Linked DNA regions of Drosophila melanogaster. The protein of the gene in region 1 interacts with the protein of each later gene in a pairwise test. Each region holds a gene or a part of one and is shown on either strand. Other genes may lie near its edges. The genes, in order: CG15282, Tsp96F, CG1648 and CG30184.

Region 1 (5,171 bases):
GAACTAGTATTAAATATTTAAACTAGGATTATAGAAAAGCATTATTATGTCTTGGTTTATAATTGTGTGTTTTTAAAAATATTTATTTATCGTGTGTTTATCTCTACGATCATGGCTTTAGTTAATGGCTTGCTTTTGAGTTCTATAGATAGTGGTCAGTCTATGTCTAGTTTCCCTCACTAAGGAGCTTTAGCCGAAGAAGTTAAATAGGTTCTCCTGCTGCTGTTGCTGCTGACCTCCACCGCCTTGCTGCTGCTGCTGTTGCTCCTGGAAGAACTCCACTCCGCCGCCGAAAGGACCTCTGAAGATGACACCCTCCTCCTGCTGTTGCTGCTGCTGACCACCGCCAAAGCCGCTTTGCTGCTGCTGCTGTTGTTGTTGCAGACCACCTTCAAATCGTTCAATACCCCTAATAATTTGACCAAACGGACCGAACTGGGCCGATGCAAAGGCGAGGAGCGCAACAAAAACGATTATCTAAAAAAATAATACATACAGTACAATACATTTAGTTTCAACTAAAAAATAACGTAGATGTCTATATTAGCCAATTTTTAGCGAAAAATACCGTGAATTTCATGTTGAATATTGAAAATATTCCTCAAGCGAACAATCTTATTTCACCGGAATGCTAAAATCAACTGTTTGAGTTTCGGCTGCTGGCTATGAGTATTTATCTGAATTTTTGTTAGGCTTTATGCCCATTCAAAACTGGTTGAGCACGGTGCGATCGCCGCTCGGACTTCCCTGTTCAAATCATTGTGAACGTTTGTGTTTATAGGGGATTTTTTCTGTTGTTGAAAACGTTCAAGTATCTGGGGTTGACGGGCCCACTAAAAATACAGGTTTGCAATCAGCTCTTCTTGGCGTATGCTCTTCGCTAATCAAATTAGGTTTTTTGTTAAATTATTGCTGTCAGAACATTTGGTTATTTCACAATTTTGCATGAGTCAGTATCTGCCTTTGGTTTTTATGCCAACATCATTTGCGAATTATTCAAGTGTTTGCAATTAATGTTGTTATAGCACAAAAATGTCATTAACCCATTAAGTGATTTTCGATTAGCTAAATAAAAACAATTTTTTATGTTGAAACACAAATTTTTAATTTAATTTAATAATTCATTTTTCTTGATGTTGCTTATGTCCAAAAAAATAAACCCAAACGTATTTATAAGCAAGCGAAATAAATGAAGGTTACTCATTAATAAAATCTCTGTCGATCTAAAGGCCTACAATAAGCCATTGTCAAAACATGTAAATGAGTATTTAAAAACAAAAACTGTTTTGTGTTTGTTATACTAATACGTTCAAATAATTTATTTTAATTTTTAGTCGAGGAACTAAAGTAACAGCCTTAGAAGAAGCCTCCTTGTTGCTGCTGCTGCTGCTGCTCGATTCCTCCAAATCCGCCGAATCCACCGAAGCTTTCCTGCTGCTGTTGCTGTTCTCCGAAGCCTCCGAAACCGCCGAATCCTTCTTGCTGCTGCTGTTGGCCACCGAATCCTCCGAATCCACCGAATCCTCCATATCCGAATTGAGGAAGCGCGGAAGCAACGGCGATAAGGGCCACAAAAACGATCACCTGAATGGCCGTTTATTATTTTTATAAAGTCCTTAATCCCTGCGAGGTGTAGCTCTGGTGGCCAAACTTACCAAGAATTTCATATTGAATTTGAAAATGAATTCAATTTGTACTAATATCCCAGAAGATGAGGATGCTTCGATGTTGCACTCGATACTGTGCCCTTTCTGTCACGTCTTTCTCTATTTATACGATTTTTTTGAATTCATATAATGTTTGAATTTCGGAGGTTCTTTACCCGCACTGAAATAAAAACTTGTCCCAGACACTGGACCAGACGTGGGGGCTTTCCTCACAGGTGACCAGCGTTTCTCTTCCAATCCGGTTTTGAATTTGTTGTGGTTATTGACCGGTTTCCATTTTTTTTTAGGGGAACAGGCGCCAGGTGCGTGGCTTTTGATATGAATTTTAATAGTTTGCCAATTTATATTTAAATAGTATTTTTACTGAATTTATGACTAAGCTATTCAGTTTCTAGAGGCACGTTTCCAAGAATCAATATATTGAACCCAAACTAGACGTTGTTGATGCTACTTGACGTTGTTGATGATGCCTTTGTTTCTGGGGTTCTCAAAACAAATTTGCTTCCTTACTCTAATGTTTACCATAGAATCACATTAATGTGTTACGTGTATATATAATTATTGAATCTTACTGAGCTGGACATTTGAACAAATCACCCCTTCCAATTGCCACATTTATATCCGGGCAAAAGTAAATGCAAATGAGCGTAAAAAAAACATATTTTTTTCAATTCGGTTACATTTCGTTGAGATAAACAAATTCCATTGACATAATCAAAAGAAACTTTGTTGTTTTCTTATTTCGTTGGCGTTCACTTCAAGAGCGGTCCAAACGAAGCGAACCAAGCTCACTCAATAGATAAGTGTCTCGATGGGGAATCACCTGCAGCGAATGGGGAATACTGGCGACCGGAGACCGGAGACCCTGGAAATTTTACCGTACCTCGACGAGGGTGAAGTGAAATTGCATTTGGTGTGCGGCGCCAGCGGCAATCGAGTTTGGCAATACGTGTTGCCTTTAACTTGGCTCTTAACCCTGCCATCCGAAAAGAGGGTGATGCGAAAGACTGCGACGACGAAGACGGTGCCTTTTGGCATACTTCAGTGGAGCGCATAAAACCCTAAATGAATTTATTTGGCTCATTTAAAGCAGCTAATTTATTTTTATTTCATCGAATTTGTGTTTAGTCGGGCACCACAAGTCCCTCTTCCCGGTTGGCAAGTAAGCTGTTTAGTGTGGGTACTAGTGACTTTATCCGTTTAATGTTCAAGTAACTTACAACGCAAACTCGCTCAACTTAACTTAAATCAAAGTAAACCCTCTACTTCAAATAAACCACCGCTTCAAAACTAATCATATAGCCGTTGCTTTTTGGAAATGTGCAGTAATTTTGGTAAAATGTCTAATGAACCCTTTTCGGGAGGCCTAGGCCCTTAAAATTGCAGAGCTCCGGGGAAAACACTCTGGGCCAACGTCTGCGTCGCGTGTCAAAGTTGCAACATTCAACATTCAACGCTCTTTGACTCCTTTGATGGTGGCCCAACACGACACCCAAAGCCGTGCACTGAAATTTGTTCAAATTCATTTCAATTACCGTCAATTTTCAATAATTTTGTTCAAATTATATTCCATTAGGTTCCATAAGTTCAAAAAAAAAACACTTTGCATAAACATAATTAGCCTTTTGCTTACAACGCAACATTTTTGGGACATTCTTTGCTCTTTTAAACTTTAATCGAGCTGAATTTATAATTAAATATTTGCGTCACCGATAGGTAAACAACAAACTGTTGACTACGTTAGTTTCTTGATTTACGTTAAGTTGGTATTGGCGAATGAAAGAAAGGTTAAATAAAATAGTAAAAAAAAAACATTTAAACTATTTAAGATACACATTCTTCGTTATATATAGTTCAGTAGTACCCTACGTTTCCAACCAAGCTGTTTTTTTTTTGATATAACTACGTTTAATTTTAAACTTTTGGCACTAGTAACTTGGCTTGACTTCTTTGGCACCCCCGTGCGACGCAATGTCTTAGGTTATTTGGGTGGCTAGCAATGCATTAGCCCAGTCAGAATGTTATGCCCCACCTGCAGGTGGGTGCAAATTCCTGGAGCTGAATATGTGGGGTGGCGTGTGGGTGGTTCCATTTCCATCCATATGAATTTCACATGCTTAAGCCGCAAACTTATGTGCGCGCACAGCTTGAAATCCAAGCTCACGTAAACTCAACTGGAAACTAAGCCCGAAAGAAATGGTATTCCGAAGAGGAAGATGTCGGCTCTTCCGTATCTGGTGCCGGGAACTTTCGCCAACATGTTAGCAGGGGCTTAGGACTTAGAACTCGACACTCAACAATTTTTGAGCCAAGTCAATGAGCAATTGACTGCCAACGCACCGCCGCCACCTGTCCATATATAGATATGGCAGGAACCTGCATATATTCGTGAAAACTTCCTTGCACTCTGCGGGCATCTGCATATTTTTGCGCAAATATGTTTTAATATGGGTTAGAAAAGTTTCCCACTGCACTCGCATCGCTTCGAAGGGCGGCGAAGTTTTCTTTATTGCCTTTTGGCCCGCTTTTTGCCCTCACCGCGTTTTTTTTTTTATACTAAGTGCACTTCCGGCTGGAACGCGAAGAAAACTGAATTTTACTTACAAAACCAAACTTGGAAGAGATTTTTGTAGGCTTTGACTTCATATTCATAATCCCAATCAGGAGTGGCATTCCCTGACCCCAGCTAATTTTAGGCACATTAAAACCAAAAGAGCCCCAAAAAAAGGGCATTAAATCCGTAAATGAACCAGTTAATAATACTAATAATTATGCCTTGTAAAACTTTTTATTTATCTATGCAGTTCATTACAGTCGTGCAATAACCTTGCTTAATCCTTGGTAAGAATTGATTAAAAACTTAGCAACTTAATTATTTTGCAGCTAATTTGTGACTTAAACAGTAATTTCGAATAATTAGTAATGCCGTGCAATTTAAATTGGGAAAAATAGCATGTAAGTTTCATTGTAATATAAGGACAAGACATTTTAAAATGAATTTCGGTACTTCATTTGTGCCACAGTGTCCTCGTCCTACTCGCTAATTGTATTTCTTCACCTGAGCAAACTTTGGCCTTTAATCCCTTCGCCCTGCGACCAACAAAAGCGGCCCGCACTTTGGGCCTCACTCGAAGATTATGTCGCCTTGGATTCGCTTAAGTTGATCCCGAGTAGTTTGCAGTTGGGTAACCAAGTGAAGATGCATCTGCGGCCGAGGAACGTGAAGAAGATGCAGACGAGGGGCTCTTAAAAGTTTGGTTTTAATTAAAGGAAATTTGCGTGCGTGGCACTTGATTTGTAGTTTTCCAGCACTTCCGTGTGTGCGGGCATTTTCCACCTAGGCACCACCCTAAAACCCCATAAAAAATATAAATATAATTGAAATTCTAAATTGCAATTGCCGCAAGTGCTCCTCCATTTGCAGATGCCAAGTTTCCGAGTTGCCAAGATGCTCCGATGCTGCAAATGCTGCAAATGCGGGCCTTCTCCGGCCTCAGTTCTGGG
Region 2 (6,874 bases), on another chromosome or scaffold:
GTATATACATATAGAAGTGGCAAGACATTGATCCCAAGCGAGAATATGAGAATTGCGAGCTCGTGTTATCTCACTTCTCGGGTTATCAGCAAACGAAATATGAACTTTTCTTTGGATTTCCGCTAAAAGAATTCCGGTAATGTATTTCTTCTTAAATTTTCCTACCCAGATATTAAACACTAAACTTGCTATTGCCAATCCATCCACCAGAAAAATGTTGTTCCGCTCGTGCAATGAGTAAGAGAATCTAATATAGAGGTAATGACTTAATGGGTTGGTCGAGGTGTCTATGCAAGTTCATTAATTATTCAGCAAAATTATTCATCGCAGGGAAATTGAGTGTGCGATGAGAGCTAATCAAGAGATGTAAACAAGTGCACATATTACATGGGAAATATGTAAATTTAGAACCACTTAAGAACCGATGGCTAACTGAGAAGCATTTCCAAATACAAAACACTTCTTATCTCGTATTTTTTCTCAGCCCGCAAGCTTTTGTAATTGCCAAGAGCATCAGTGCTTTCCGATAAGATTACGCAGTGGATCTCGCAATAAGCAAATATCTATTTAACTTAAAGATACAGCAAAATATAAGATACAGTTTTTGGCGCCCAGGAAAAACGGATGAAAAAGCATGAGGAAGTCTCGTAAATTTCATGAAAATCTTATGAAATATAAGAGAAGCGGAGACCGGCTTTTATGTGGGTGGTCCACGAAAGAGAGAGCTGCCATAAAGTGAGCGAGACAAAAAGTGTGCCACAAAGTGCACGATATGCTGGCCCTAAAGTTCATGAATGTGCATGTGTGCAGCTAACGGAAAAACTACTCATGGAAACGTAATACAATGTTGCCCCATTCGAGGGCAGTTTATTGAGTAAGTACATTGTAACCAGAAGCCCTTGTTTGCATAGATTTTACTTATTTTTCCAGGTCAGGTTTTCGGGTATGGATCAGTAACATAATCTTGAATTTGTTCATGTGTTGAATTAAAAAAAAAAATGTTTCTGAAGAAGAGGTTTATTCCTAGAGCTCTTATAAAGTATGTGTATGTATATACTACTTTGGATAAACCTCAATTCCCTTATCCTTTTAGGGAACAAAAGTTGACCTCGTTTTGAATCAGTCCCATTATCCCTGAACGAACTGAATCCACGCCTTGTTTGTAGCTCTGTTTGTTGGAATTTTTACGATTCCCCGAACGTTTTCACACACATATATTTTTACACATCTGACACTATGTCGCGTGTCCAGGACAAACAAACAAAAATCCTGCCGAATGGGCCAATAAATGTACAGAGTCCTTCGTTGACCCAGTTTTCAGAGCCGAGGCGTCGAAAGCGGAAAACGAGAGAGCATTTTACTGCTGCTAAATTGCAAAAAAAAAAATAAAATGGGGCCAAAAGGCAGCTGGGCTTGCATTGCATGTCCAGTCACAGTTTTGTCCCACAATTAACCGCATCGATGGCAAATCGCAGCCAACAGCCATCATGCATCAGCCATAAGCTGAAAATACAAACTGAAAAATGAATGAAGCGCCACTCATGAATAATTGAGTGAAAAATAGCACAGCGAATTAAGTATGTAGATGTGACATGTCACAGCGAATTGAAAATAGATACAGGCCAGCTTCGTTACTTGGAGAAATATTTTTAAATATTATTTTATTCACAGCAAAAGATTACATTTTTTTCAGGAATTTAAGAATTCTGCACTATGGAAGTCTGACTGTGCTGAAATAAATGGTTTTTTTAGTGGGTGGACAGGATAGGATTGTCAGATGGTCGACCGAATATTTGGAAATCTTTCAGTTTTGGTCACTGTCAACTTCAATGACGACAGCGCCGGCCGTTTAGCATTTTAGACGCTTATGGCATAGGCCTCCCCCAGCATCTTGGATGTGGGATATCGGCCCCATTGGAGCGTCAGCGTCCTCAGAGATCGTGGCGTTTGATCACGATGCCCCACGGCGACGATGAAAATGGAAATGTTTGGAAATCGATGCACAGTGGAGAGCGAGATTCAAAACTAATCGGACAGTGGTCATTTTTTGCGAAGTTATATAAAAATACTATTATTAAATTTATTATGGCTTTGTGGGGTAATTGATAACATGCCCTGGCTAAGAATAGCCTCAAAACAATGTATAAAAAGTCTTATATAAAATAATATCTGACGCACTTTCATCCATAAATCGCTCTAAAAATAGTTCAAACGATTAGTGAAACGAACTGCATCACAAACACATCACAATTTCTATCGCTCATTGTTCCTCCACTGAAATCAAACACACCACTGTGCATCCAACAACAACAACGATGAATACTAAAACATCACAGATCAAGGAACATTACACAGAAACCAATTATTGGATATAATCTTATTGGGATCGGTTAATTTTAATTTTTTTTACATGACATATATACAATAAACGAAAAATAATTGAAAGGTATTCGAAAGTTTCCAAACACGAAACTTGGCTAGGCATCAGTATTTTCTTTCTGTGTACAACAACGAAAAACTGAACGGACGCGTAAGTTTGTGTTGTTCCTCGCCCGTATTCGAAAATAGCTTTTGACTAATAAATACTATAGACAGAAATCGAAAAAAGGCAGCAACAATCAACAAACGAACGAAAAAAAAATTAGAAATCAGCCCGCATAAGAATCAAAATTTTAAATTTGTTGCCCAAAGGAAAAGCGAAACTGATTTCGCAAGCCGCGGAAGACAAGAGGAAACCCCAAGAAAAACTCAAGGAAACTCAAAACAAACGCAAACAATCGCTGTGGCAGATAGTAATTGAATGGAAACAATTGAAAGCCTAACGAGGCTATGTTGAAAGTCGAAAATTGCGTAAAACAACAAGCAGATAAGTTGGCCAAAGAAAGTAAAACCCTTTTTTTTGGGGTGAGGAGAGGTCCTTTTTTACCGAATTAAGCCAACCGAAGTTTGTAAAAATATCAACGGCACGTATACGTTATAAAAATAATAAAACAAAAAAAGAGAGACAGGAAGAGACAGAAGCAAAAGAAAAACAACTGAACAAACATGTGGAGGGAAAAGAAAACAGTGGGAGGTGGGAATGGAGATGCTTAAATGTTTATCTGTCTGTGTGTGTGTGTGTCCCCTCCCACAACGGAACTTCTATTGTTTTTATGCGGGAGTACGAGCAGAGCGGTAGGGAGTGCGAGCGGGAGATGGAGAGATACAGTGATGTCGCTTTTAAAAGCCAGTTGAAGTTTTGAAGTTATAAATGGTAGAAAATAATTTAAAGTCAAATAGTTCATAACAAACAAAACCGATTTGTTTAATTTCAAAAAGAAAAACCCTTCTATTAATGTTTTTAATTAACCGCGTACTTGAATATTTATATAATCTTGTCCATTTAATGTTTTTAAGCCCGCTCATTAAAAAAAAAATATTTAAGTTAATATATTATTATATTTATTTTATTATTTATTTATTTATATTTTTTACTTCCTTTTCGATTAAATATTTCAAGCCGTACTTAAATAAGTTTCAACTTATGTTTTGGGCACCTCTGGGATCGAGAGAGTGGAAAGAGGGACTGAAAGAGCGGTAGGACTCCAAAGAGCGTGCGCACGGCTCCTCCCTCCGCCCGCGCGCCAAGCGTGAGAAAGAGGGGCGTAGGGAATACACAACACACACACATTCGCTCACGCAACACCCACACACACGCGCGCGAAAAGGAGGTCCGTGTGTTCCAGTTGTTGTTGTGATGGGAGAGAACCGAATCTCGCATTGTTGTTGTTGCTGCTGCTGCTGGAATCTACATACCCAGAATAAAATGTTTATAAGGACCATCAGATATTTGACGCACGAACAGCAGCCGTTGAGACCCATGGCGCGGATTGATATTCTTAAATAGGTAACTCCTTAAAAAGTAGCTGCAATTTAACTGGTTTTTCAACCACTTGGAGATGCTCTTTTTCCAAGGAACCCCGAACTGCAGTGTCGCCTGCACTTTTCGACCTTTTGCACTTTTTCAAAACACCCGCTCGATTGTACTATATTTTTCAAATTTTTTTAAAATTTCCCGTGCTAAAATCCACCGATTTGAGCCACTGTTTGCGCGATTGGCCGTTGCACCCGATTTGTTTTAAAAATTTTATTTGTGCATCGAGGCGTCCGTCCAACGTAAAATTCTTGTATCAGTGCGACCATTAGCTCGGCCGTTCAAATATACCAGCGGGTATAGAAAGGCTAAAAACCGAAAAGTGGTGACCCTTAGAAGATACCAAAGAAGTGGTTGAATAACTTTGATGAGGCTTAGCATGGCTTGCAACCTGCTTGGATTTGCAGCCTATACGCAAACCAAAGTGGCCTATCGATATTTTGGATAAGTTCTATTGCCAATTTTCCCAATAAAATAAAAACTTCACTTGAATGTTAAAAGTAATTTAGTTTCAGTGTTTACATAATGTTCAAATAACCTTTTGATTGTTATTATGAAAGTTAAAAATTAAAAATTTAGATATTCTAACTAACTATTATCCCCAATGTTTCAGCTATAATCACCATATTTAAAGTAGATTTCATTTTAAAGTATAAATTTGTGGTTGTTTACATTATTTTAACATGTCTATTTAATTATTACTATGAAAGTGGGTAATTGAAAATTAGGATATTCCAGGTTTTTGATTTACTTTGGCTATGATTTTCCCAAAATATTTAAATCTGTAAATGTAAACAGTTTGAAATGTGACCTTAATAGTTCATGCTTTGTTCATTCTTCTGCGAAACGGTCACACTGTTCGCGCAGGCGAAAATGGCCTAAAGCGTGAAATGTTTAATTCGTTGTTGTTTCTCCTCCGCAATAGTTACTAATAGAAACAAATGCAAAATGGCTGTCTAACGTTTAAGTGCAGCGACCGCCGAAGATCGTGGAAATATGCATGAAAAGCGGCTCGCAGGCAAATGAAAGGCGCGTGAAAATGTAGCAGACACCTTTTTATCGCGAAAACGAACATCGGTGCAAAGGGAAAAACAAAAACCAAGGAAAATACAGCCAAACGCGAATGTGAATGTGAAGGCAAAGTAAGCGAAAAGTCCCCCAACTTTTTTGGGGAGTATCGAGTGCACCACATACGTTTTTCAATATATATTTCGATTGCATTGAAATCAGAAACATGACAATTTCCCCCCTTCCCTTATTGCTGTTGTTGTTGTTGTCGGCTTGTTGCAAGTTTGTGTGAGTGTGTCTTGTAATTTTGTTACGCAGTGGAGCGAAGTTGGAGTTTTGTGGAATGGAAATGGAATGAAGTGGAACGAAGTGGAGTGTAACCAAACACGAAATGGAAAAACGAGGAAAAAACCTTAAAGCGCAGCCTAAGCTTTAGTCGTACTGAAAATTTCTCAAGCGCTGCAAGCCAGTCTTTGCCAAAGTAAAGCCCCTACCTCCCCCCCCCTCTTTTTGCATAATAAACGAAAAACGTTGCGCCCACTTTACGCACTTGTTTTTATGCTTTCCGCGTTCAGTGCACTTAAAAACTTAATTGGTTCCCCCGTCGGCGGTGCTAATGTAGCGCATTTCACTGTTTTCAACGTAAATATAATTATATTAGCAAACGTTTACAAGCAAGATTGGATTAGTAATATGTAGTAGCTTGCTAGAAATCCTAATAAAAATGTGAATAATAATATATACGGTTTCATTTAATATTTTGAAAAGTTTTAATAGAAAAAAGTACAGCTTTTCTAAAAGCTACCCTTATATTGTGTTTCTTTCTCACGAAATAAACTACTGTGTAGAAGGTAGCGGTAAATATTTATGTTTAAAGTCCACTCTCTTCTATGTTAGAGGTATACCCCTCGCCCCTTGGCCACTGCGAATGCTGTATCTTCGCCAATTTCACTTTCACATTCGTCGTGGGCAGTTACAGCGAAGCCAATTGCTTGGTACTTCTTTTATTTTGTTTTTGTTCCCCACTTTGGGGCGTTTCAAATTAGAAAGTGTTTGCGTGTGTGTGTGCGCATATGTAAGTTTATGCGTGAGTGATGCGAGCGGCGTTTTCTCAATGATTTTGGCTAATTATGTAGCTCATTTTCGATAACCGCTTTAAACTGTGAAAATTGTGTCAACTTTGGATACTGTAACTTTACACCCGCCACATAATTTCATTTTAATTAGCGCTCGTTAACAGTTTTCCATCTCCCCTCTCCATTTTGTCGCCCTCTTGAAATTGCAATGTGTGGGAAACTTAATTTGTTGCATCTAGGAGGTGAAAGAGGGAGATAGAAACTGTGGGAGACGAGAAAAATTAAATGAACAACACTAATTCAAATGCAAAATGAAATGTACAGACACAGATACAGTTGTGTAACAATTGTTAATTAATTAACAGAAACTTTTAAACTCAATTTTTGAAAGACATGAATATTGAATTCTATATCAGGATTATTTAAAGCACTAAGCAAAGCGTAGTTAAAATGGATTAAACCTGTTTTCAAATATAAAATGAGAAGAAATGTGGGTTATTTGGGCTCAAACAAGTTTTAATTAACCTGTAAAAATACGTGACATTTTGTATATTTCTTGATTTCGGAGCTTTAAAGAATCCCTATAAATTTGGCCATCGCTTCATTTATACATTATTACATACATATGTACATATGTACGAATTTCAATCATTTACATTCCGCACACAAACATGAAAAGAGACACCAATACACATGCACCTACATTTGCCAACAGTCAACATAAATTAGTGCGAGCAACGGCACTTGGCAACATGCAACAATAGCAACAAAAGCGACATGATTGAAGCAACAACAACACCGACCAAGGAAGTTGCCAACTGTCCCGCTTTGTCTCTCTTATTGTCATTCGCAACTATCCCGCTCTGTCTCCCTATTG
Region 3 (5,832 bases), on another chromosome or scaffold:
GGTCCTGATCCCAGGAGCTCGCCCCGCGGCAGGATGCTCAGCAGGGCCACGAGTGCAGTCAGGAGATGCTTCATTTCGCTCGCTTCCGCCGGTGCACAGTGAGCCGGCTCAAATCGCCTCCTGTACTTATATCCTCCGCTGGCCAGCAGTGCGCCCAATCGATTTGGAGCTCGCTGGAGCTGGAGCGGCATCTTCGGCAGCATGGCCAATTCAATTACAAGTCCATGCCGCCGGAATGCCTACGCCAATGTCGTGGGCTAATTTGCTCACCCGCCAGTGGGTCAGGTTTAGGGTCATTCAGTTTAATTGGCTATTAGATACACTCGAAGAAAACGAGCCGGAAAAGTCGCATGGGGTGCTGTAATTGCCAGTAATGTTAACCCTCTAAATTCCTTGATGGCAATTCATCCGCCTAATAATGGGCATATTGCGAGTAACTATTATATCATATATAGATGTTATAAAATTGTAATACAAGTTTAATGCAAATAAATTAAAAGATTATATATATGGTTTTGAAATAAGCAATAATTCTTAGCAGTATTCTAACTCATTCGAAGGTAGCAGAGCTTTCTTCTTCTGGAGTATGATGATGATAGATGGATATAAAATGCTTCAGTTCCTTTGACCCTGATCTGTCCTCCCATTTAGTTTGTATCTGCCGAAGTGAGTTAATTGCTGGCTATGAACTCGCTGGTAATCTTCAACAGCTCAAAAACGCTAAGAATATTAAGTTCTGTGATTCGAGCAACTGGAGTGACTTCATAGTCATTAGCATAACCCGCCCGAAGGGCTAGATGTCTGACCCGGCCTTGTTCTTTCCGATTATTGATTTACCTGGCAGGGTCGTGACATCAGCCATTGGATTGTCCGTGGCCAGGACACGAATCGCCCGCCTTTCCTTCTGTTGCCAGCTGACTCAGACGACCTTCGGTCGGATGACGATTGCGCCGGGTGGCCACAACAATTCGTGGGGCGTGTGAGTACCACGCCACCCCTTTCTGCCACGCGCGCTACTCTCACATATATAATTCTTTCGTATATTGTATCTCGATTGTGCAGTTGTATCTCACATGACATCATCAGCAATGGCAACAACAACGGCGGCCCCAGTAGCTCCATCGATTCATCACGGATTGTAGCTCTTTTTTTTAAGGCATCCAGAACTGGTGTGGAACGTGAGTCGGCAGACCTCAAATCGCAGTAACTCATAGATATTCGTTCCATGCCCGTATGTGTGTCCGTTCCGAGCTGGGTTCCCATGTAGCCCAAGCTACAGCTACAGCTACAGGTTTTCCTCTATCCGAGGCTTCTGCGCATTATTTCAGCTGCGAGTGCGACATCGACGAAAACAAAATCAGAGAGCAAAATCAAAATCCAAAACTAAAACCAAACCAAAACCAAAACAAAAACGACGCCAGAGGCTGTGAGAGAATCTGGGCTTATTGTGTTACCTTTTGGCCATGCTTCTAGCCGGTTTTCAGTGTTGACCACAAGTTGCCACAGTTTTGAATAAAGACTGAAGAACAAAATGCGTCGTATTACGCAAATGCCTTAAATAGGGCCGCTGGCCTTAGGAATTCCGCGTGTGTAAGCCATTAAGATATATATGTACATATATCCAAAGGATTTGGCGGGGAATATTAAACACTGCGGTTGCCTTATACGTAAGGCCACCTTTTTTAAGTTTAATAACTTATCATTCTACGAATGTATTTTAAGTATCTTTAAATACGATTTTAATTTGGAAAACAGCACAATATACTTAGCATGCATCTCTATACATATAGTTACATATTGTACAGTGTAGATTGCACGATTCCTTCCACTTAAATTGCTATTCTAGATTCTAGATTGTTAAGCAAGTCCAATGCCACATACATACATTCCTTAGCCATTAGCCATTAGCATTTGAAATGTCTGAATTCCCTTTGATTCACCCTGTTTTTTTTGAGCAGTAAAAGTAATTTTCAACACCTCGGCCGAGCCCACACATTCCATAATCTCGATACCCAGCAAGCGTAGAATAGAAACTATTATTTTCGCACAATTTTCGGCTCCTGCGGTGGCGATTGGCTCATTAAATGCGAAATGCGAAATGCGAAATTGGCCGAAACTAAATTATTTGGAAATGAGCCGAGTGTATGGGGCCATTAAAGTATCTCTGCGGAGAGAACCGAATCAGAATAAACACATTCCCGATCACAATCAGAAAGCGTGAATAGACCGCACTAGAAACTTGGGGGCGATTTCATTCGCCGGCTGCCCATTATGACATCACATACGCCGAATAATTTGAATACTCGAGCTTTGTTTGCCTCATTCGCATACAAGCATACTGTATATTACAAAGAAATTCCTCGGCTATTTCCGCCCGTTTCCGTTTCGCCCAACCGATTCGCACCCGGTTCCGAGTTGAGCGGCACAATGTTTCTATTTGAGTGGACGCACACGTCACTCCCAGTGAATGCAGATTCGAGGGGACAGCAAAAGCTGGCGCTCGTTAATTTCTATTAAATTGCGAATATAAGTCTCAAGTCTCGAATTTTAAGGCTGACGCCATGGGGCTGGCGATCACGATTTCAACAGCCCCTAGTTGCGCAGTTTCTATTAATAGGAAAGTGTCCCAGTCTAATCGATCCGATTTAGTCATGTAAATAGTTCATGCTCCAGCTGCTTTGTTTATGTTTCGGCAATTACCTGTCTGGAATTTGGAATCTGAAATCTCAAATCTCGCATCTTCGATCTGATCGGCGCTCCACCCTGCTGATTGCAATCAGGCTATAAATTATAATTAGCGCCAGGCCAGAGCTTAGTTAGCATTCAGAGGGCCAGTCAGCATGTTTCCTAGTCGCCAAAACCAAAGTAATCCCATCCAGCCAGCACAGTCAGGATCTAAAATGCACTCCTCATTCAATCCCCAGCTTCCTTGAAGAACTTCGGTGACAAGACCGCCAACCTCTTCAGCAAGAAGAAGGATGAGGCCGAGAAGCTGGCCAACGAGAAGGCTGCCGAGGCCCAGAAGCTAGCCGAGGAGCAGGCCAAGAAGGTGGGCCAGTCCGTACAGCAGACCAAGGGCGAGGCCGAGCAGTTGGCCGCCAGCACGGGTGAGTAACGAACATCCAAAAAATAATGAATGTAACACATAAAAGATGTCTTAGAGAATTAATTGGAGTTATTAATTCTAAAGACTTCCAAAAACTCTTGCAACGAAGAATTGAATGAGTCCCGTTTGAGATAACTTTCAAAATCAACTTTCAGTTCTTGCTAAAAATGTTTTCTCATTAGCATTCCATTTCCAATTTATCTAAAACGCAAATCTTTTAAGCATATCAAACACAAGAGAACTTAATAAATGGAATTCTTTAGTGACGCGTTGACGTAAAACATGTTTCCAAGAATAAGATTCGCATTTTTGAAAACATTTCTTCATAAATATTGAAATATTTCTATAATTGTGAAAAGCAATTTAATGTGCTAGAGATTTATAACTAAACAGAACATCAATGCTATGTTTTATGCTGGAGCAAAGCCCGACCAATTCAATAAATATCTTTAGGAGCACTTTTAAAGATATTTTGTAAGAATTTTTCCCACTAATATCTCTCTTTATCATACAGCCAAGGAAGCCGCTGCTCTGGCCACCGCGGAGGCTCAGAAGGCTGGACAGGCGATTGACCAGGGTGTGAACCGTGCCGCCGGAGCCGTCAACCAAGGCAAGCAGGCGGTGGACAACACGGTGGCCCAGGCGGCGGCCGTGGCCCAGAACTCCAAGCAGGTGGCGGCCAATGTGGCGGAGGCCTCCCAGCGAGCGGCCGCCAATGCGGTGGACCAGACCAAGAAGGCGGCCAACGACGCCATCAACAAGAGCGTGAAGGCCGCCGAGAACGTGGCGGACCAGAAGCTGAAGCAGGCGGAGGGCGCCATCGATGGGGCACTGAAGCAGACCAGTCAAACGGTGGACCAGAAGCTGCAGGAGGCCAACCAGTATGTCGACCAGAAGCGCCAGTCCGTCGAGAAGACCGTCCAGGATGCGGCCGGACAGGCCCAGGAGTCTGCCGGACAGCAGGCCAACGCCCTGTTGGGCAAGCTGCATCTGGGTCAGAAGTAGAGGCGTCTCCCTTCGCGGTGCCACCTAAAATATCTTGATGTGAAAATGCTTTAGATACAAAAACAAAAAAAATAGAAAGGAATTTGCTTCAATGTAACGAGTGCCAGTAATGTGATTGCTAAATCCTCAATTGAATATACACAATATATATATATATATATATTTACATATTTTTTGAATATCGCGCGGACGGATTATTTTGCAGCCGCTGCTTTCGATGTGAGCATTTCAGCACATCCTCTGTCCGTATCCGTACAAAGTGTAATTAACCCCTTCGTTCTTCTTCTTCGGCCGAATTTTGTTACTTTGAGGCATTTGATATTTTATATACAGCTGCGCTGAGTATGCTTTTAATATACGTATATTCTGTTTATGTAGAGATGTATGATTAAGTACCTTTAACTCTTGCACAACACATTGCAAATGTGTTTTTAATATATTGGATTCGAATGAGATTTGTGGTCTTTCAATTGGTGGGGGTGCCACTAAGCAAAGCGTATTATATGTATATATTTGGATATACTGATGTTATGTTGATTATATTATTACTGAAACTTTTATTAACTCATTTTCAATTTAGCGCCAAATGGTGATGTATGGTAATACTGTAATCTGGCCACACTGAATTTACTTCGGCTGCAAGCGCAAATAGCGCCACCTACATGTGGGATAGAACGCTGAATGGTTTGAAAACAGGGTATCCATGTTTTATCTCGCTTTTACCGTTTCATTCAAAAAAATTAAATTACTTTTTAATGAAGTTTTCAAACTACAAGTTTACTTGATGTATTTATTTGGGCTTACTATTTAATTACTGACTTATCTTGGCCATTGGTTGTTCAGAAAATAATATTATTTCTGGACATATTTTGAGCATATAATTACAGCTATATACAATTTCTTTAATAAAACCAATAAATCAGTTATAAATTCTACACATTCCACTGTTCACCCAAAAGTGGTAACATTTTATTTTGCTTCTAAGACAAAAGAAGTTTTTTCCGGCTTACCCTTTCCCCTTCCTCCAGAGCTGCCTGTCTCATTACAGAACCTTTTCACAGATCCAAGGTGAGCAGCAGGGGAAACTTTCGCAGAAAAGCGGACCATGGAGATGGACGGATCTATACAAATAGACCGAAACATGCAGAAATCTGCTAATAGAAGAGGTCATATTGTGTACTCCGATATGTCGGGCAACTTTTCGTCGAACAGAAGCCGAAAGTTGTGTTAGGTTTTAATTATGGGAAAAGTTTGTTGTGGCTAACAAGTGACCCCGGTGCATTGCAACGTCAATTGAACGCACAACTTCAAAGGACCAAAGGACGAAAGGACCAAAGGACGAAAGGACGCTAGGAATGTGTGCAAAGTATTGGCAGCAAAGTGCTGACATAAATTCAGGTAAGAGCGATTTTTAATTTCAGATAAGTGCGCCTGCTGACTGGAAAGGCGAATGATAAATGCATTCCATTTGCGATTCAAGTACTAGTGGGTGCGAGGCGCCAAATTCAAATTTATGCCGGCCACGCAAAAGTCGCGCCAATTAGGTTAGCCCAAGCGAGTTGATTTAAAGTTAAGCGATACGAGCGGCGCGATTAATTACAATAACTGTTTATCAACACATATTAATCATGGTTTAACATGCTCCCAGCTCGTGTTGACCCAAGCAAAATGGCGTGCAGCGGAGTTCCGGTCATGTTGGGTATGCCCACTCCATACCCTCC
Region 4 (5,059 bases), on another chromosome or scaffold:
CGTTGCCCTGCGACTCAAACTCCAATGCCCTAATGCTGGCCGAGGGCATCAGCTTCGGCAGTGTTCCAGCCAATCTCTGCACATTCCTGATCCAGCGCGCTTGCACGAACGCCACGCTGGCCAACTACTTCTACTGGTACTTGTCCATCGAGGTGGAGGAAGTGGAGTCGGTGAGGAAGCAGGACGAGAGGGCCCACGACATGTACGCCATGGTGCTCAAGATGTTTCTGAAGGTGCTAGAGAACGGTGGGTGTAATTTAACGAAATCATGGCTCATTCTCTAATTCCCTAATTCTCTAATCCGCTCATCCGCACAGGCAACTTCAACCTGAGAGGCATCTTCTACAACCTCCGGAAGCAGCGGCGCTTCATCGACGAGCTGGTCAAACTGGTGAAACTGGTGGCCAAGGAGCCGGGAAATCGCAATAAGAAGACTGAGAAGTTCCAGAAACTGTTGGCCGAACAGGACATGTTCAAGGTGAACTTCACCAACTTCGAGCCCATTCCGTTTCCCCTGGATCCGGAGATCTACATCACCAAGATCGTGCCCATGCGCACATCGCTCTTCAAGAGCGCCCTGATGCCAGCCAAGTACGCCATGACCAACCAACAAACTCTACTCACTCACTGAATACTTCAATCCTAATCCTTAATCCTATTCGCAGGCTCACCTTTGTCACTTCGATTGCCCATCACGAGTACGCGGCCATTTTCAAGCACGGTGATGATCTGCGCCAGGATCAGCTCATCCTGCAGATGATAACTTTGATGGACAAGCTGCTGAGGCGCGAGAACCTCGACCTGAAGCTGACTCCCTACAAAGTGCTGGCCACCAGCTCCAAGCACGGCTTCCTCCAGTACGTCGACTCCTGCACCGTGGCGGAGGTGCTGGCGCGGGAGGGCAACATCCACAACTTCTTCCGCAAGCATCATCCGTGCGACAATGGACCCTACGGCATTTCGGCGGAGGTCATGGACACCTACATCAAGAGCTGCGCGGGCTACTGTGTGATCACCTATTTGCTGGGTGAGACTAAAGGAGTGTAACCAGGTGGATTCCGCTAATCCTTGGAATTTCCTCGCAGGTGTGGGCGACCGGCACTTGGACAACCTCTTGCTGACCACCAACGGCAAGCTCTTCCACATCGATTTCGGCTACATTCTGGGACGCGATCCCAAGCCCATGCCGCCGCCAATGAAGCTGAGCAAGGAAATGGTGGAGGCCATGGGCGGCATCAGCTCCGAGCATCACCACGAGTTCCGCAAGCAGTGCTACACGGCGTACCTGCACTTGCGGCGGCATGCCAACGTGATGCTCAACCTGTTCTCTCTGATGGTGGACGCCACTGTGCCGGATATCGCTCTCGAGCCCGACAAGGCGGTCAAGAAGGTGGAGGAGAACCTGCAGCTGGGCCTCACAGACGAGGAGGCAGTGCAGCACTTGCAGAGCCTCCTGGACGTGTCCATTACGGCGGTGATGCCGGCTCTGGTGGAGCAGATTCATCGGTTCACCCAATACTGGCGGAAGTAGAGGACATTGCTTGCACAAGAAATTGTGGGAGGAGCGAGTAATCCTAGTTCGGTTCAGCTGAGTTGTTTAACATCAAAAGTGTACATTAGATTAATACCTTATACTTATCAATACTTATTAATATTATTTATCCTTTAAATCCTAGTCGTAAGTTTGCTTTAGTCGTAGGTGGCCTGTAGCTAAAAGTCCGTTGTGCGGAACCAAATGTATCCACATATACTATATATCTTGTCACAATTGTAGTATAACCATTTAATCGGGCAAACATGCAGGTGCGCTCCAAGAAGCCCGTTTGGTTCCTGTTCAAGATGATGGAGCTGCTGCTGAGCCTGGGCTGCTGCCTCGTCCATTGGACCTGCTTCATGGAGGAGGGTGTGCCGCACATCTTCCTGCTGTGCGGAACGTACGGCGGCTCGGTGATCATATGCTTCATATCACTGATTGGAGCTTTCTACGCCGAGCGGCCGACGATGAAGCACGAGGCGCTGTTCGGTGGGATCTTGGGTGGCCTGCACATGGTCACCGTGTACGCCAACATGTATGTGGCCACTTTGGAGGAGTTCCGCACTGAGCGCTGGCCCAGCTTCTATGCGTGCTGTCGGGACAACGCCATTGTGGCTCTGTACGCCGGCGCCATTTATCTGATGCACTGCACCTTCGCTCTGGATCTCATGTTCTCCCACTCACGCAGTCGGGCGAATCAGAAGATGCATCCACAGCGGAGCAAGCGACCACTGCAGCTGTACTTCATCAGCCGGGGCGCGGAGGCCTATCTCAGTCGCTTCTGGTTCTTTCGGCGCATCGCCGCCAGGATGCTGACCAGCGCCCAGCCATCGGAGCATTCCGGCCGGAAGCGGCAGGTCTCGTCCTCCGAGTCGGACTCGGATGCCAAGGAGAGGGAGGAGGAGCGGATTAGGAACTCGGAGGTTTTCAAATAGCTCAAGTAATTAAATATTAACGTTCACCTGCTCGTGTGCTCACTGTAGTTGTGCCTTTTGAAAGCCCGCTGCTGTGCAGCCCTGGCGCCATCAGCTGTTCGCCGCATAACAGCCCCGTCTCTTGGAGCGCGCGCACTTTGACAGCTGTTCGTTTACAGTTCCTTTGGTTCTTGGAAGTTTGTTTGGCGCGCCGCGTGTGATTTTCGTTACTTTTGCCGGAATTGTGTCGATTTTGTGGATTTTTGCATTGGTTTAAGCCTGCGGAGGAGTCCAGCTTTAATGACGATGGCGAACGGTGCGGTGAGTTGCGGGGGGAACGCACTGCGTCGTCCACTTCGCCATTGTGCGGATGCATGGCTGGAAATTTCTGTCTGCAAACTTTTCCGATTTTCATAGTTCGATGCGTGGTGGAAACTTCTGCGGGCGGCGCTCGAGCTCTGGGTCTGTGTGCCTGTGGTTTTAGTTAGTTGCAGGTACTCGTTGCTAAAACTTTTGCTAAAAGTTAGCCGTTGCCACTAAAGTTGCCGCCCGAGGCAACACAAACAAACGAAAAAAAACGAAAAAAAACGGGACTAGCACACTCGCGGCCATGTGCATATGAACACTTAGACGCCGTGCCAAAACGAAAGGCACAGTGGGCCTTGGCTAACTCTGAAGATTGGAATTCTTCCCTTCAAGAAATTCCAATTTCTAGGACTTTCCCAATTTCCATTCTGACTTTGGAAGAGGCGGAAAACTGAGTGTGTAATCATCATTTCCCGTTTTCGCCTTTACAATTCACTCGATCTGTGCAATGTTGTATAGTAGCAGCAGCAACAGGAATCTCTTATCGGGAGCACTATGCCACATGCCACTCTTCCCGAAGAGAGCCCACTGCAGCTGCGAGTGCGAGTGAGTGGGTGGGTGTGCTACTGGCGAGCGAGCGAGCGAGCATGACTCACCGCTGCCAACTGCACTCAACTTGGCCTTTGTTATTGTCTGTGGCTGCAAGCCATCGAGCCACCGAACCACCAGGCGGCCCAGCCCCAATCCACTCCCTCCGCCCTCCGCTGCTAGCCCCAATTCCCCGGTCGTGGTCCTTCGAGCCGGTCCAAATGCAGCACGTGTTCCATTCGGTGTGCAAAGTCAGTTGGAATGCCAAGCTGGAGTTATGTGTGCGCACTTGGGGTTGTGTGGGTGTGTGTGGAAAGCGTGTGCATCTGAAAGATACATTTTCTAGATCGCAGCATGTTTGGTTTAGTTGGCAGCTAAATTTCACTACGTGCAGTTTGCGGTGGGTGTTGGGCCCAAAGTCTCGGAATTTCAACTATGTTTCGCAACAATTTAGCCGGCTGGTGATAACGATAAAACGGCGAGTTTCCGAGTCGATTGAGTGAATAAGATTAATCGTTATGGTGATGAGTTCGTTACGATGAGATACAAAGGCTGAGATAATTAGAGCAAAAATAGGTGATTCATACATACATATGTAAGTTAGCTAACTTACTTGAAGTCAATGCATGCAGAATTGTCATTGTTTGTTGAACTTATCATATGGAAATAGTAGTAATTGTGGTTGAATCTTAGCTGGCAGCACGTTCCATTAATTGGTAATCGCTTTTGGCTTTTGGCGCACTCTTTTCGTTTCGCCTCATTTCGGATTCGTGGAACCCAAAGGTGGTTCGTCTATAATTTCACAATCGACCCATGGGTGGTGCACCATTGTAATTGAAGTCTTAACTCCGACTTCCTATGTGCAGTCGCTTTTAGCTGGAACTTTTCGGGCCGTCGACGAACCCAACTCCCTAAACGAAGGTTCCCATCGTAGCACCGGAGCCCCGTAAGCCCCCATCTCGGGTTTTGGCCCCAAAAACGCTGTGTACGTGCCGCTAGTTCAGCTCCATAGATTGTCCGGTGGTAATCAGTTTACGCTGACGACGTTTGCTACCACTTTCCACCGCCACCCCTCTGGCCACGCCCCTGATCATGCAGATACAGCTGGGGTCAGCCAACTAGGCGAAATGGTATAGGAACATACTTGAAATATGATTGTTACTAGCGTATTTCAGATTCAACAACTTAGTATTTGTGCTTCTACTCCATTGTTCAAACCCAATGTGGTTACTATATGATGGCCCTATAATGCTGACCCCGTCTGTGGCGCATTCATATTCAAATCCAAGTGCAAGTCGTGTAGCTACATGCGAAACTCTGTGTAAACCGAAGTGGCTCTCATTTATTTTTCGTTCAATTCTATTTCGCTGCCGTTCGTTTTTCATGAACCGATACTAACACGAGTGCTACTATTTCAGTTGGTTACTAAACATTTAGTGCCCCCCATACTCCCCACTACCCCTCCCCCTGCCCCTGCGGATAGCCCCGCGAGCATCGAGCGCAGCGGGCTGACTAAGCGAACGAGCTGAGCGAACGGCGGCGGACGAAATGTCGCGCCATATTAACCATATTGCGCGGTGCCAAAAGGGGGAAGGCTTTGCATACTGCCCATGCCCATGCCCATGCCCCAGTATGTGGGGCTCCCTATCCCCTCGTTCCTGCCTCCTGCCTCCGTCCTGCCCCTCGCATCTGCCCGCATCTGTCGCCTGGCAGTTAG

The links.
Region 2: the proteins of CG15282 (region 1) and Tsp96F interact in a two-hybrid assay, tested with the Drosophila melanogaster proteins (one large-scale study listed by BioGRID).
Region 3: the proteins of CG15282 (region 1) and CG1648 interact in a two-hybrid assay, tested with the Drosophila melanogaster proteins (one large-scale study listed by BioGRID).
Region 4: the proteins of CG15282 (region 1) and CG30184 interact in a two-hybrid assay, tested with the Drosophila melanogaster proteins (one large-scale study listed by BioGRID).

What each region holds. Positions count from the first base shown.
Region 1 is NT_033779.5:14,709,238-14,714,408, reverse strand, and holds CG15282 (uncharacterized protein), read right to left. Parts: upstream 1,939-5,171; 5' UTR 1,823-1,938; intron 1,767-1,822; 5' UTR 1,668-1,766; coding exon 1,656-1,667; intron 1,585-1,655; coding exon 1,357-1,584; 3' UTR 1,291-1,356; downstream 1-1,290. Other genes in the region: CG34165 (uncharacterized protein), read right to left, coding at 190-477, 569-580.
Region 2 is NT_033777.3:25,877,221-25,884,094, forward strand, and holds the start of Tsp96F (tetraspanin 96F), read right to left. Parts: upstream 4,208-6,874; 5' UTR 3,862-4,207; coding exon 3,796-3,861; intron 1-3,795.
Region 3 is NT_033778.4:9,809,757-9,815,588, reverse strand, and holds CG1648 (uncharacterized protein), read left to right. Parts: upstream 1-2,814; 5' UTR 2,815-2,840; coding exon 2,841-2,865; intron 2,866-2,924; coding exon 2,925-3,107; intron 3,108-3,620; coding exon 3,621-4,111; 3' UTR 4,112-4,270; downstream 4,271-5,832. Other genes in the region: lectin-46Cb, read right to left, coding at 1-74.
Region 4 is NT_033778.4:23,562,282-23,567,340, forward strand, and holds CG30184 (uncharacterized protein), read left to right. Parts: upstream 1-1,691; 5' UTR 1,692-1,797; coding exon 1,798-2,469; 3' UTR 2,470-2,499; downstream 2,500-5,059. Other genes in the region: Pi3K59F (phosphatidylinositol 3-kinase 59F), read left to right, coding at 1-246, 318-591, 666-1,027, 1,086-1,531.